Tribolium castaneum: one gene and its partner. The protein of the gene in region 1 interacts with the protein of each later gene in a pairwise test. Links are inferred from orthologs where the notes say so. Each region holds a gene or a part of one and is shown on either strand. Other genes may lie near its edges.

The links.
Region 2: the proteins of Axn (region 1) and sgg interact in a two-hybrid assay, tested with the Drosophila melanogaster proteins (2 studies listed by BioGRID, with this or other methods). The link is inferred for Tribolium castaneum from reciprocal best matches to the Drosophila melanogaster genes Axn and sgg.

The regions. Positions count from the first base shown.
Region 1 is NC_087399.1:7,266,915-7,274,647, forward strand, and holds part of Axn (axis inhibition protein), read right to left. Parts: intron 4,292-7,733; exon of another isoform or gene 3,646-4,291; intron 3,593-3,645; exon of another isoform or gene 3,356-3,592; 5' UTR 3,277-3,355; coding exon 3,096-3,276; intron 3,041-3,095; coding exon 2,779-3,040; intron 2,730-2,778; coding exon 2,534-2,729; intron 1,292-2,533; coding exon 1,120-1,291; intron 1,068-1,119; coding exon 947-1,067; intron 851-946; coding exon 707-850; intron 481-706; exon of another isoform or gene 360-480; intron 1-359.
Region 2 is NC_087402.1:5,769,873-5,777,605, forward strand, and holds the end of sgg (glycogen synthase kinase-3 beta), read left to right. Parts: intron 1-22; coding exon 23-454; intron 455-882; coding exon 883-939; intron 940-3,147; coding exon 3,148-3,334; intron 3,335-3,384; coding exon 3,385-3,542; 3' UTR 3,543-5,704; downstream 5,705-7,733. Other genes in the region: leucine-rich repeat-containing protein 58, read right to left, coding at 5,718-5,881, 6,112-6,301, 6,350-6,566, 6,612-7,090.

The DNA.
Region 1 (7,733 bases):
TCATAAGATTTCCTACCCTATTTAAGCCAAAGATTTTATAATTTTTTAGTAATCAAAGTCGACTTAAATATGAGTAAAATCAAGGTTTCTGTTCAATTACAGTTTACAATCACTTCTGAACCCTAAAACTAAAACATTTGTTTTAAAGGCACATCTAAAAGTAATTTAAGGTTCGGTTCCAAATTTATGCTACGCCACTGGCTTCCCCAAACTAAATGTCAAATAAGTCCTACTGAAAACAATAATACATTTTCAAATACCATTTAAAGTTCAATTATACGTTAAATATAATCCACTTGAGACCTTAGAGACATTAAAACTTAGAAATTTGTATTATTTAAACTTTGTTAACCTGCAGCGTTGCCAACCATGTAACAAAAAGTCCCTAACGTCCAAAGTTTTAAGTTTGCCGACAAAAATAGAACAAAAAACATAATTAGTGGTTTTGTGTCCAGAAACGTGCCCCCAATTGATCGGCTGGTAACAATTTTAAATATTTACTCTTTTACGTTTTTTTAAACAATCAGCGTGAAAATTCAAAAGTGACAAAACCTCACTTTTCTAATACAAATACTCAAAATTCGCCTCAAACTTTCCATCCTCATTGTTAATCACCCTTGTTAGAGTTCAGGATTAGTCCCCGCCACCAAAACCAAAATTTCGGGACATGCGCCCGCAAATATCGCCCCCTTGATTCAATACTCACACATTGCTCTCATTTAAGGACATATTGTCCGATTCGGTCCTCGCATCTGAATGACTACTAAGCGACTGCATTTCGCTATCTTGCCTCGAGACCGGGTTGTAGGAATTGTATGCGACGTGAGCCCCACTGCTTCGGTATATCAAACTACGCAATCACACGCAAAAACAAAACGGAGAAAATAAAAAGAAACCAAGCTTAAAGCGTGTTGTGAAAATAAAAATTTGCTTGCACGGTACTCACCCAGCATAGGTCTCGGATTTGGGGCGGATGTCGAGAGCGCGATGCTTTTGAGATCGGAGGAGCATGTCTTTGGTGAGGCGAACTGTTGGCGTGTGATAACCCGTACTGACACTGGCTGCACCTAGACAGTGCTGATTTGTGAAAAAATAATTAGATTTTGAGTGTTGGTGCACCTGGCGTTAGGATGACGGGCTGCTGGGTGTTGAGACTGAATTCCATGCCTTCGTGGAGCGTGGGAAGGGGGCCCAAACCGCTGGCCAAGTTCCCCAAGTCTTTGTTACTGAGGGAACTGCTGGAAGAGCTCGATTCGCTGTTGAAGTCGTCGCTGCTCGCATTCTCGACCGACTATTGGGTAGAAAAATTAATACAATGCATAATAAAATGCAATTTAAACATTAGGGTGATTTAACCAAATATTGGAACCACAAGATTATAAAAAAATTGGTTTCGCTGTTGTGAGCGGTCATTTAAATGGATTCCAAACCAAAATGAAAAATGATGTCTTGATTGTCTTTGCAAAAAAAACGCCAAAAAAACTTATAACTTAGTCAGCGACGAAAAACGATAAATTGGAAATAGAACTTACATCATAAACAACGAGGAAGAATAAAAATGTGAATTAAAATACATTGAAAGAAAATAAGTTGTAAGACATTTTCGAAAAGTTATTTTTTTTTCTGATTTAATCTGTTTATTTGTGTAATACATTATTTTTAAATAATTAAAATAAAACATAACAATTCTCTTTTTCTTTTTTGTGGGCAACAAAAATTTGGATTTTCAATTCAAACTTTAAAAAATGTATTATCCAGTAAGTATTTATAATTTAATGATTTTTTAAACAGTAATTAAATCAAAAACAGCATAATAAATTATTATTACATCAAATTTTTGCGACTAAAAAATTGTTTGTTTTTAGGTTTAAAATGGCAAGCTCTGTCATTCTATTTTCTAATTAAACATGAAATGTCTGAAAAAAAAATCTTAATTGTATGATTTCCTTAATAAAGAAATGTCGATCCAAACACCAAAATTAATCAACATTATCAACGTCACGTCACTAAATCAAAAAAGTGTGAAAAATGGTAGTATCACATCGTTTTTAATTTTCTGCACATTTTTTTTTTAATTAACATTTGCGATGATCGTATATTTGTTCAATTGAAAATAACTATAACATAGTTTATTTTTATATTTTCACATTTTTTACTTTAATAACCGTTCACAAAATTTCTAGATTATTCACACCTTTTATGTGAAATAATTTTTCCATGGCCAACTACTTTCAAATATTATAAATATATTTTTTATCAAAAGTATATTAAAATGTCAAATTGTATTTATATTGCTTTCAGTTCAGAAAAAAATAAGTTTTTCGAAAATGACATAGCCAACTATGATTCCTATCATATTTGACAGTGAAATGACAAAAATGCATGAAAAACGGGACGCTAGAATTAACACTTAACACAATTAAAAATATTTAAAATTATTTTTTCGGCTCAATAGAAATTTTATCCCAGATCCGCCACTGCCTAATATTGACCTTAGTGATCTCGAGTGAGAAATGTTAGAAATCGTAATTACTTGGACATATTGCAGATAGATGTCGCTTTTGAGGAAGTTGGGATAAGTAGTTTTATTGATAAGGTTTTCGATTTGTGCTTGGGCCTCGTCGAACAGAGTAATGGGTGGTTCAAGGCACTGGGGCGATTTTAAATTTCTCATTATTTGTTTCTTCAGATCGTCGTTGATTTGTAGGGCCGATTTCAAAAAATACGTTCTGAAAAAAATACTAATCAAAACCCAAAAATGCACCAATCGGGACTCACTTGTAGATCAATTTAACCAACTTTTGTATATTTTCGACTTGATCGTGGTTCTTCAAGCCTTCGCAAGCGAACCAAAAGCGCAACGTGTCGGCATGATGGGGCCCTTCCGATTCGAGGTAACGCAAGAATAATTTCACACCGTCCGAATCCTGCAGCAGATTGTGCAGCGATTCGGCCCATGCGAGGTAGGCCGGCGGTTTCCCGTGGCGCGACGAAGGCCGCGAAGTAGGCCTGTAACTGCTACCATCGTCGAAATCAAACTCTGAAAAATTTTTTTTTTAATTGTTTAATAATTTTAATAATTAACTGCTTGTTACTTGGAACAGGAGAGGAAGACTTGTAGTGCCTGCGGTCCATCTGCAGTGGCTGCGCCCCCCGCTCCGACGCGTTGTAAGCTCTCTCCTCTCCCAATGCGGGGGGCCTCGGCAAAGTGTAGTCGAAAGTGCCTTCATAGATGTGCTGTTTGCCACTGGACCTGCTCTTTTCCCGGTCGTTCATGTTGAGAGAGGCCCCCGATACGAGCCGAGCGAGATGGGGCACTTACAGGGGGCGGAACGCCTCGGATTCATCATGAAAACTGAAAAAAAATTTTTTTCGAAAAATTTTTTTTTTACAAAAAAATTGTCTAGGGGGCCCGTGGACCCCTCCCGATAATCCCCGCATCGTGGAACAATTCAAATATGGACGCTAGAGCGAGTGCCCCTTGGGGAGTGGTAGACTCTTCGATCAATACCCGAAGAGCATCTGAACAAAACCATACAATGCGCAGCCCTATTCATTTCTTCTGCTCGCATTATTTCGTAATGGATCCCCGGTTAGAAAATATTAAATCATATTTAATAAATCCAAACAAAAGATTTATTTCAGGTAGGAAAAAATCAAAACCTGTCATATCCAATTACATCACTTTACCATGATGTAATTTCGGCTAGAACGCAATCAGGCGAACGAAACAGCCAAACCATGCAAAACATACCGCATTTCATCAACGGGGAGCCCCACTGAAATATTATTATGAAACGGCACTAAACACACAATACACCCCTTATCCTATTATTACGAAAAAATTATTTTTATTTTATTAATATCGCATTCAGCTGCCACTTAAATCAGACCCGAAGCGTCCGTTATGATGGACAGGCGAATAGGAAATGTTCAAATGCTGCAATGAACAACTGGATAAAGTCCTAAGAGTTCCTTCGATCGATGACTCATTAGACAAAAGGGGGCTCCACGCTCTTTTCAAGCCACCAGATCCTTTTTCACAACAGTCCTAAGGCTCATTTTTATTACTTAAGCCAGATATTGCCATGGAAATAGAGAGAGAAATGAGAGTGGTTGGAGGCACCATCGATCGATTGGACCACATCTTAAAAAAAGCCAAAGGCTTTTGTGAGCAATCGACGCATAATGAGGGGCATGCAGGGGCTGGAACGCCGTCAGGAAGTCACAAGGGCACAAGATTTGAGACAAAAGAAACAAATTTTGCATAATTAAACATTTAAAAAATTAATTGCCATTGTCACCACGTAAAGTGGTTATAACGCAGCCCCCTTACATAGCAAGGCCTTGAAATTAACAACAACCACGGGCCAAATGATTGGCATTACGGTAATGTTGTTTTTGTGTAATTATCGTTTCAAACTTTTAAATAATTAATTTTTATTTAAATTGTATTGCGGGTTATGCAACCAGTGACGCATGCGTGTGTACACGGTTGCATAACCACATCATGTTCGGACTTTGCGTTTATGTCGCACAATTAATCACAAAAATAATACAAAATTGATCGGTTGTGGCCAAGTTTATGTTTTATTTTTTCCGCTTTGAACTGGTGTGAAGGTATTAATTAAAGCGAACGCCGTCGAAATCGTACCGTGTTATTATAGGGGTGAGAAGGGCCATGTTAGTGTATAATTTAACGGCATTTTAAGTTATAACCACTTAATTTTAAGCGGCGTGAAAAACAAAACTACGGCTCGCAAGGCTAGAAAAAATCTTGACGGCTTTTCACAAAAACCGGGGGAATTACCGATTATTCTCGGGGAAATTTTAACGGTAAAAAAATGTGAACATACAAACTGTTCCAACGATTTTTCTTTTTTTTTTTGGAGGTTTTTGCTGCATATTTTAAAATTATTGCACTTTATATACAGGTGTCTCAATATTAAAAAAAAAAAAAACGCGCTAAAGTTGTTCTTTAGAAACACCCTAATTTTTTGCATTTTTGGATGTAGCTTTTCACAGTGTTATACATTTAAGCTAAATTGTTATTGGTCGATTTTGTTCAAATTTTTAAATACTTTATTTTTTTGATGAAAATAAGTTTAAAAAAATACATAAAAACTAGGAACTTTAGAAAAATAGAAAATTCACCATTTTAAAGAAAAAAATTCAAATTTAAAGGGTACATTTTTTTAGCTTCCTACAATCAAGAAGATAAAAAAATTAAGAGGTTTGTTGCAAATTGAATAACTAATTTTTAATATTATTGCATCTAGAAGACCTTTAAATTGTCTTTCTTGCTGATTACTCATAAAATATTTAACTTTAAACATTAAAAAAAACATTAACTGTTGTTTCAGTACCTTTTAAACTCAAATATCTTTTTAGTTATTAAGTTTAGGCATTTAAAACTTTGTTATTAGATAGAAAATTTAATAACCTTTGAGACGCAAAAACAAAAATAGGGTGTTTCTTTAAGTTTTTCAAATTATTCAAGTTCTAATAATTTTCTTAATTTTTATACGTTCCTAATTGCAAATGCGCTAAACAATTTAACATATTTAAGTCTGAACTTTTTTCTTTAAAGTGGTAGAATTCCTACTTTTCTATTATTCCTAGTTTTTGTGTAATACTTTTTGCAAAAGGCGTGTTTTCGGTAAAATACAAATTAAAATTTCAAAAACTAAGCAAAATCGATCAATACAAGTTTAGATCAAAATCATCAGTATTAAAAACTACGTCCAAAAATGCAATAAAATTTAAGGTGTCCCATTTAAAAAAATATAACTTTAGTGTTTTTTAAATTTTACCAGTATATACGCAGTGATTCAAAAGTACCGGACAATTTCTCGGGTGCTGATAAAGGACATCAAACTGAATTGAAAGTTCCTATGACAAAAAATTATTTTTGGTGCTTCAGATCATATTTTTTTGACTTTGGTTAGCTGAAACGACGGCTCTTTAAAAATTGAACAAATACCTATTGAAAAAAATCAACAATTAATGTTATGATGTCTTGAAAATTTGACAATAAATTAATTTCGGCGTCATATAAAACGAAAATCGCTACCGTTGCTAAAGAAAACAAATTAAAAAAATATGTCAAAATTAAGTTACTTGAAAAAAAACTGACTAAATGAACGTCTTTTAGAGTTTGTCCGTCACTTTTGAATCAGCCTTTATACCGCAATAATTTTAAAATATGTAGCAATGACACAGCTATTACCAGTAATTAAAAAAAGAAAAAGCCAATATCTCTAATAATAATCACAACCTTTTTCGGATTGTTAGGACAGTCCGAAAGTCCATTCGATTTTGGAAATTGATGATATATCGTGTACTTTGTTGTAATTAACTAACTAAGCTAAATGTGATATTTTAAAAAAAATTCGTCAAACCGTGAATTAATTAAAGTGCACGTCTGCGTTCATAAAAACGTTATAATGGCTCGGTATAAAGTATGTAAGTAATGCAGGTTTTGCTTCAACCGACGTCTGCTGGAAGAGAATGTCTTGAGCCAGAGCCGGTCTTGCCCCTTGTTTTAATTAAACTCGAAAAAGTCGCGATACCTTCGCAAACAACCAGGCATCACTTGACAAAACACAATCACCTTCGAGGGAAAACCGCCAACTGGAAACTGAAATCGCGGGAAAACTTTCAGGATTTTCCCTCGCGTCACGCACACGTTTCACCCTCGGCCAGCCAATCACCGACTTTCTTATAGAACCCCACGTGACGCGTTATCAATTAATAATAAAACAAACGACAAACGCATCGCCTGAAGATGACAACGGCCCTCGTCGAAACGTTGCAAATAAAAAACTATAGTATTGCTCTTCGTGTTCGTTATTAAACAACGACAACATTTTGGCCTAAATGATAAAATTGTAAACGAAAAAAAAAACAAACAAACAGGGGTCAGAACGGGCACACAAAGGAAAGCCCGGACCCCGTTCTGGTGAAACCAGAAGGGTTGGTCACTTTTCCGAGAGCCGGTCCTGGCTCACATCTGTCGAACGGTACAGAATGCGCGCGGGACGCAAGGGGGCCTGAATGGCGGGCGGCACAAGTTCTTTGAAGCCCAGAGGCAGCCAGTGGTACCGCGGTTGCTGACCCTCGACGGTACCAGCGGTACCAAACCGACAAACAAATGCAATAATTTTTGACAGGTGTATACTACGGGACGAATTATTGCCGCTACACTGAGATTACGCTATCTGTCATTGATTGATGATTGTGTAAATAATTGTCAAGTTGGCGGCGAATATCAAACGCGGAAATGAAATTATTGAAGAATTCCGAACGGGGAGAAATATTCAAATATGAAAATATCGAATGGTCAGAAAGCGTCCAGTGGAAAATTCAATTCGTTGTAATGCATATTTGGAAAATTCACCGCACCCCGGCTTGAACCCATTTCCTGGTACTAATAAATACGTGATAAAGGCCACAGGTAATTTACTCGCGTCCCTGTATAATTACGGGCAGACAGTTGGCCCTGCTGCTTTCAAAAAGCGAGACGGAAATTGGCTTTTTCTCAAGATTGAGAGAGAAGGAAGCGAGGTTAAAAGACCGATTCTCGGAAGAAAACTCACACACTGAGGGTAGTTTGTATTTTTATTATTAGCGAAGACCTAATCCAACAGACAGGGGCGTGTTGGGTTTTGTTGAATGACATGTTTATGACTACCAATCGGAAAGTACAAAAGTTACGAACGGGCCAGACGGTT
Region 2 (7,733 bases), on another chromosome or scaffold:
TGCATGTTATATTTTTTTGCAGTTGTATATGTACCAGTTATTCCGATCGTTGGCGTACATACACTCGTTGGGTATCTGTCATCGGGACATTAAACCGCAAAATCTTCTGCTGGATCCAGGCACTGGCATATTGAAGTTGTGCGACTTCGGCAGCGCTAAACACCTCGTCAAAGGCGAACCGAACGTCTCGTACATTTGCAGTCGTTATTACAGAGCACCGGAACTGATATTCGGCGCTATCGACTACACTACGAAGATCGACGTGTGGAGTGCGGGCTGTGTCCTGGCCGAATTACTGCTGGGCCAGCCGATATTCCCCGGAGATTCCGGTGTAGACCAATTAGTAGAAATTATCAAAGTTTTAGGCACGCCAACTAAAGAACAGATCAAGGAGATGAATCCGAATTATACAGAGTTCAAGTTTCCGCAGATCAAGTCGCATCCTTGGCAACAGGTCAGTGGCTATTGTTAACGTCGGTTGTGCATTTTATTTTTAACTAACTAATGAAGTAGTGAATGTGGAGCTTTCGCATCCGTGGTATTCGAGAGGTACAATAATGCTCTAATTCCAAACACATTTTTGCCGTTTTAATAAAAACATTGCAGTAGAAGTTGTAGAATTTTTACAGCGGCTGTAAAAATATCCGTCCCGAGGGACCGGCGTGTTGAAAACACTCGCAGTTGCGCCAAAGGGACTAAATGTTTAAGAACATTTCGTATCTCTCGAATATTATTTCGCACGCATCGACTACAAACCAGACGATCCACCACTTGTTTTCCAATCGAGGAATTTTGATTTGTGTCTGACACGAGGAATAACCCACTAACAATTTGTCACAAGCTTATTACGAGTAAAATTTTGACGAGGACGTCTGTTTGCAGTTTTTGCTGTCGAGAATGTCTCTACCACATTGTAGCACCAATCACCAAAGAATACGTGTAAGTGGCTTTGGTTACTTGCCGTCATTCAATTAAAAAACGCTTGTGCGATGTGTGTTTTTGAAAATTATTGTGTTACAACGAGTGCATGTGTTGTTTGTTGTGAAAGTGACAGTTTTGGTCATCATCTACGTGTTTGAAATTAATTATCTTGAAATGAAATTGGCAGGGGAAAAATTAAATCTGTTGGGAAGAGACTAGATTTATTGCTTGATGGAGGATGCAACACATCAAAGTGTCACGCACAAGGGAACGCCCTTTTGTGGGTTTTACTTAACGCGTAATTTTTTGATTAAAGAGAAGTGAATTCATTCATTCAGTCCTGCGAGGGAACGAAATTTCAATGTTTATTACAGTGCTTGTTAATAACGTATTCGGTAGAAATGACTGTCTCATATTTTTTTATAGGAATTGGAATAAAAGTCACTTTTTCTGTGACACAACATTATGTAGAAGAAAGTAAAAGTTAATCAGTCGTTCATTGCATAATTAAAATAATCACGTCAAATTTGGCAGTTCAAAAATAAAAAACGGAACGATAATGAACTCTTCTTACAGTTGTGTCTATTCCAAATAATAAATAAAAGTTAAACATTGATAACAATTATATTTCTGCATGTCATGTTTATTTTTTCTGGTCGTCAACTCTGCTTTTTTAATTCCAAACAACACATTACATAATTTTGTATTTTGTAATGAAACTACTTACAGACTGTTCAAAAGAAATTTATTCAAATTATCATTTATTTTTTGTATCGTTTATGTGCGAATCAAATTAATTGCTTTCTATTTTTAAAGATGTTTCAGACAATGTACAGCAAAGAAATATTTCAGAAACAGCAAAAAAATCACAAAACTCAGTTTACATATTTACGTTATTTGAGCCAGTTCAGAATTTTTTTTGTTCTTGGGCTCACTTATTTCAAGAAACTTGGATAAAAGTATGTAAATAGCCGATTTATTTTAAATTAAATTTATTTATATTTTTTCTTATTTCAACATTTGCTTGAAACAAGCCAAGCTAAGTCACTGACAAATTACGTTATCTCAGTGGTTAGATGGTTTTTGAACCAGAAACTTTGCGAGATTTGAGACTAAAAACACCAAAAACTGTGCCTTCGTTACGTTATTTCAGGCAGTCCTAAGACCTCTAGCTCACATTTGAGCCAGAAATTCATTTATTTCAACAAATTTTGTCGAAATTAAACAAATCTCCGAATTATGGGTGATTTTAAAACTTTTTTGTGGCGAGTTTTTATTAAATGTATTCTCTTTGTATTTCAAAAAAAAGTTTGAAACAAGCCAAACATTTGCAAAACTACGTGATCTCAAACATTTTTCAGCGATTAGATTAAACAGGCTAAAGTCACCAGCTTAGTCTGAGCCACCTTATTTCAGTCAGTTTTCAATGATTTAGTTTATTCTTGAGCTAGAAACTCACTTATGTCACGAAATTTTGCCGAAAAAAGTAAATAAATTGCCGAATAAGGTCTAAATTATGTCGTTTTAACCATTTTTAAGCGATTTAATTCGTAAGTAAACTTTTTTCTAACGTGGCTTTAATTGTTTTTTCTTTATTTATTTATCCCCTTTTGGCTCCCGAAATATCTGCCCAAATTAGAGATGCGCTCATTTATTATTCTAATAGTTTTTTCAACAAATACGAAAGGATTAAATTGATTTAGTTGCAAGTATTTTTTTTTAATATCTGGGAATAATTTGGCAATGTAACGTCGAAGTTTGACCGTACTTTTGTTGAGTTATTGTCTTAAATGTAAAGGGCATAGAAATTTGATTCATTATTTCAAATTAAATTCTTGCGGAATTGGTAGAACAAACTGTAATGAAATGCTTTCCTTTTTGGTGAATTGTGCCATTGTTAATAATTTTTGGAATTGTTTAAATGGATTGGTTATTCACTAACAATTCATAAATAAAACGTAGATATTCATGGGTGTTTGGGAGTTTGAAAGATTCAATAATAAAATAAGTTTTGGTCGTAGCATTTTGTCATTTATTTTATCAATAAGGCAGTTTTTTGCAATCGCACGAAAGGTTTAGCCCGCCGTTGCGTGCTTCTGTATGTGACACATGCTCCAAAAAAGCGTATACATAAATAAAACAGTTGTGTAACGTCACTATGTCAATCGTATTGTATCGGCATTGATTCCAATTAGAAAAAAAAAATGTTTAAAATTGTATCGATAGGTATTCCGAGCACGGACTCCCCCAGAAGCGATCGAGTTAGTGGCCAGACTTTTGGAGTACACTCCTTCATCACGGATCAGTCCATTGCAGGCTTGTGCTCACGCATTCTTCAACGAGCTCCGGGACCCCAACACCCGCTTGCCCACAAATAAAGAACTGCCCCCTCTATTCAACTTCACGGAACAAGGTGATTTAATTGGGGGAGAGTGAGAGTTGGTGGTAATTAGCTGGTTGCAGAGTTGAGTATTCAACCTTCATTGAATTCCATTCTGATACCGCGAGGGGTGCAGGAGGCCGCCAACAGTCCGCAAGACGGGGCCGCGTCGTCGGGGGCGACGGACGCCGCCGACACGACGGCAGCCCCCGTGCAAGCGACCGCCGCCGGAATACCTTAAGTAGTTCAATCCTCCAAGGGAAGGGCCCCTTTCGCTCGTCCCATTTCTCCCTTTATCTAGTAAGCGATCTGTGTGAGATTGTTGATTGGGACAGCTGTACTATATTTAATATACGTGCGTTTGTACAGAATTTGATTAGTTGTTTGTAGGCGTTTGTGTTAATGCCCTTTTGTTTTAGCGCGTTCATTTTTACAAATTTTGTTGCGTTTGAGTTGCATTGAAAAATCTGGTGTCGCACCAATCACAATATATGTACATATTATTTATACATAAAAACATTTGTAAATTTTAAGTAGGTTTAGTTGAATGATTACTTTAGTTTGTTTTTGGAACCGTTGGAACAGATTTTTCAATGAGCATATTTGTATTACCAGACATAAATTCGTATATTTTTAAACAAGGCAAAATAAGTTATTGATTAACGTAGATCTTCTTGGTGATTTTCATCGTTATATTAGTGGTTTTAACATAATTTACTTACGCAAAGCATTTGGTGTTAATTATTTAAGGTTATTCGTTTTGGTATGAGTAGTAATTGTATAACAACCTGACATCGCGATAAAATCCAGGACCGTAGAGTAAAACAGTTGGTGTGAATTGATATGAGTATACAAACGAGAAAGATATTTAATCTTGAAATATTGTGTACTTCTAGCTTACGCTTTAGAAAAAATGAGTGAAACATTACAACGTAGAATTATCCTAATGATCGTACTAGCTTACGAAGTGCAATGCGTTAACATTTCTGAACACGCCTCCAAGAAACTAGGACAATTATTATTAGTTTCCATAGATGTGCACTATCTACGGTTTGGAGTTATTTTTTAAACGCAAGATTATGTGCAAAGTGTGTTATTTTGACATAGCCAAATTAATAATTTAATTTAAGGTAAAAGCACACTCTCCCTTCTCCCGCTCCTCGACACCCCTCCAACAATCGCAATATTAAAATAAAACATTATAATGACAGTTAACTCAATTTCGATGTTTCCTAAAATGCGAATAAATCATCTGAATAAGCGACTTTTTCATTTCAAGCCCTCTCGTTGCAACAGTCGGGTGTGCTTGTACCTTAAGTGGTTACAGGTGAAGTTTTAGACATTTGGCCCCACTTGGGGGCCAGTCACAGTTTCAGGTCTTCACGTGAAGTCGGCGATCTTTCAGTGGAGAGGATTAAATGTCTAGAATTTTAAACGAATGACTTCTACGCTAGTAGTATTTATGACTGTGTCGGTTAGTTAAAGAGTGAGACTCACCTTGGAATAGTCTGTCTGTCGCCCCAATTGTTATGTAAATATCTTGTTTTATGAAAATTTTGTGATTTCCATAGATGCAAGTGCTCTAGAGTAGAAGGTCAAAACATAACATATCAAAATATTTTTTATGAGTAATTAGTTGAGTTTAGTTGCGTTCGGGCGCCCCGAATTAGTCAGGACAGAGTTTATTTTATTTATGATTAATTATATGATTTGATTGAAATGTATACTTTTCTCTACCAAGTGAGATTGGAACCAGCTTTGTGTTAGAATATGCATTCTATGAATGCACTTCATTGTTGTACCATGAACTAAAAGTGCGCCCTTCCTGAGGCCAGCCTAGCGGCAGCATTTTTCCTTCATGTTGTCATGTGTAGCATCTAGCGAACTGAAGCAATTGTAAATAACGGTAATTTTGCAGGCAATAAGCGGAGCTCTTGGACGCACTTTAAGAATTGCTTCACGTTTGCTTAGGGCTGTCTTTATTGCCTTGGAAAATTCGAGTAGACGAAATAATCTCCTGCACAGCTTATCTAGACACGAAATCGAATGGTTGCTTCGGTTTTATGCGTACTTTCATTCTGGACAACCAAATATACTCCTCGAGGCCCGCTCAGTGTGCAGGTTTTCAAAATTTTCGGCAAACTAGTGTAAATTTGTAAATACGCTTTTACAACATGTTCAACACTCGCGAAATGTAACCAGGTTATGTTTGGTTGGTCCTGTGCTGTTCTTAGAACTCCTAACTATGTCGTTTTATTTAGAGTTTTAGGCGGATTATATTTCAAATTTCTTTCAGCTCAATGTTTTACGCTGTATATATCTCGCTTATTATATGTAAACTTGACACTGGAATATGCAATATATACCATGAATATTTAAAATATAAAGAAAGTATTAAAAGTTTATTGCTCGTAATTTAACCCAACAATACTTTTTTCATCAAGTAGGCGCGAGGGGGGCGCAACTCCTCGCCGTCTTCGACGCACTTCGTCGAACACAAATACTGCAGCAAGGGCAGTCGGTACTTCCCACAGAAATCGACAAATTTCACGTGCTCCACGCGACTGTTAAAAAACACACCTGCAACAAAATAGTTAATAATACGAGAGCGAAAACACAAGTTCGAGGGCTGTCGTTATGCTACGAGCGTAAACGAGTCGCATACATAGACACTCGATAACTTTAAGCGTTTTCGCATAATTTTTTTTGTTGGAACATTTTAACTTAAAACACGTGGGAAGCGTGCTTTAAAATCTAGGATTCAGGTTATTTTTAATAAAGCCTTCTTTTAAAGACATTAAACAACTCACCTTTGCAATACGGGTTGACGCAATGGTGGGCCGAATCCAAATAATTCAATAAACTGGCCGGAATATCGCCCTTTTCGACCCGCATTTGGTGCAGTTTTATCACACGAGCCGACAATTCTTTCAGACTAGCCGTGTTATGTTTTATGTTACTCACAAAACGGACAACCAGGGGGTTATCACGGAGACTCAGCTGTGACGATCGAATTTTATTTTTACACAAAGATGATTTATTTGTTACCTCAGTCAAATTTTTCAGCGCGATTATTTCAGGCGGCAAAGTGCGCAGTTTGTTTTTGTGCAACTGGAGCGACTTCAAGTTGTGCAAATTGGCGATATTTGACGGCAAACTCTCGATTAAGTTATCGCAAAGCACCAAAGCCTGCAGTTGCTTCAGTTGGCCTAGAGTTGAAGGAACTTCCACTAATTGATTGCCACCCATCGACAAGATTTGAAGGCTGCAATCATTATCACGTGTGGTCGTTTTAGTCGTCCCCACTTACCAGTTTAATTTCTTTATGTTTTTCGGTATTGTTTTAATTTTATTCCCTCCTAGGTACAGGTACTTTAAATTAGTAAACTCAAACAGTTGTTCGGGAAACTGTTCGAAAACATTCCCGCTCAGGTTTAGCTCCCGCAAGCTCGCACTCTCTGCGAAACTTTTCGGGAGGGATTCGTTACTGAAGCGATTATTTTTCGCAACCAGTGTTGTTAAATGCCAGTACTCGAAAACATCAGGTAAGGCCGTAAGGCCGTTGTTGCTGATATCGAGGACTTGGACGTTTGTGAATTTTGCCAAATTTTTGGGGAGCGTTGTGAGTTGGTTGTGGTGCAAAATAATCGACTCGATGTCCTCTCGCTTCGTGCAGTCCTTGCCTAGTTCGTTCAGATTTTCTTCCAGTTGTTGCGAATCCAAAAGCAAATAGGCGAAGTCGAACACTTTGTTTCCATTTGTATCACTGTCACTGCTGTAATTCTCCATAGTTGCACTCACGTTCAATGGCAAATTGTAACTAATGGGGGCATGACTTGAGCAGCTCTGATTATGATAACTCCGTTTGAACTGTGGGCTGCGATTAGGAGAACGCTGCGTTCAAGCGAAGCTAAGGTCAAACGTGTTATCACCAATTTGTGAACAAAGCGTGGTGAGGCGTTATTTTAACAATGAGTCTGGGAACGGAATTGTGTGGTTTTATCGAGTGTGCTGGTTTCGGGGGAAACCCCTGAGCAACACCCTACGCCCATGACTAGGTAATGATAATTTATTAAATAGCTGACCCTTGTGTGTATTGTTTCGGTTCGCCGAACGTGCATATACAGATAAGTCGCACCAAAACATTATTTTGGGTAAAAATTGTGCAATGGAAAAAAATCGTTATGGATATTGCACGTTATGTTTTTTGCGGTAGTAATAATTACACAAGCGTCTAGGTACACCAACATTGCAGAGCTGTAGGCATGCGTATTCATGCATTTGCCACCGTTTGAAATCAAATTTCATTCCAAACATTTCTTTTGTTTCTTTTTCACACTTCTTGTCTGCAAATTTCCAAAAAGTGTTACAACTAATACTATACATGGGTTCAGCTCGGTTTGCGTGTGGGGATGAGCTTTTTCTCTTTGCT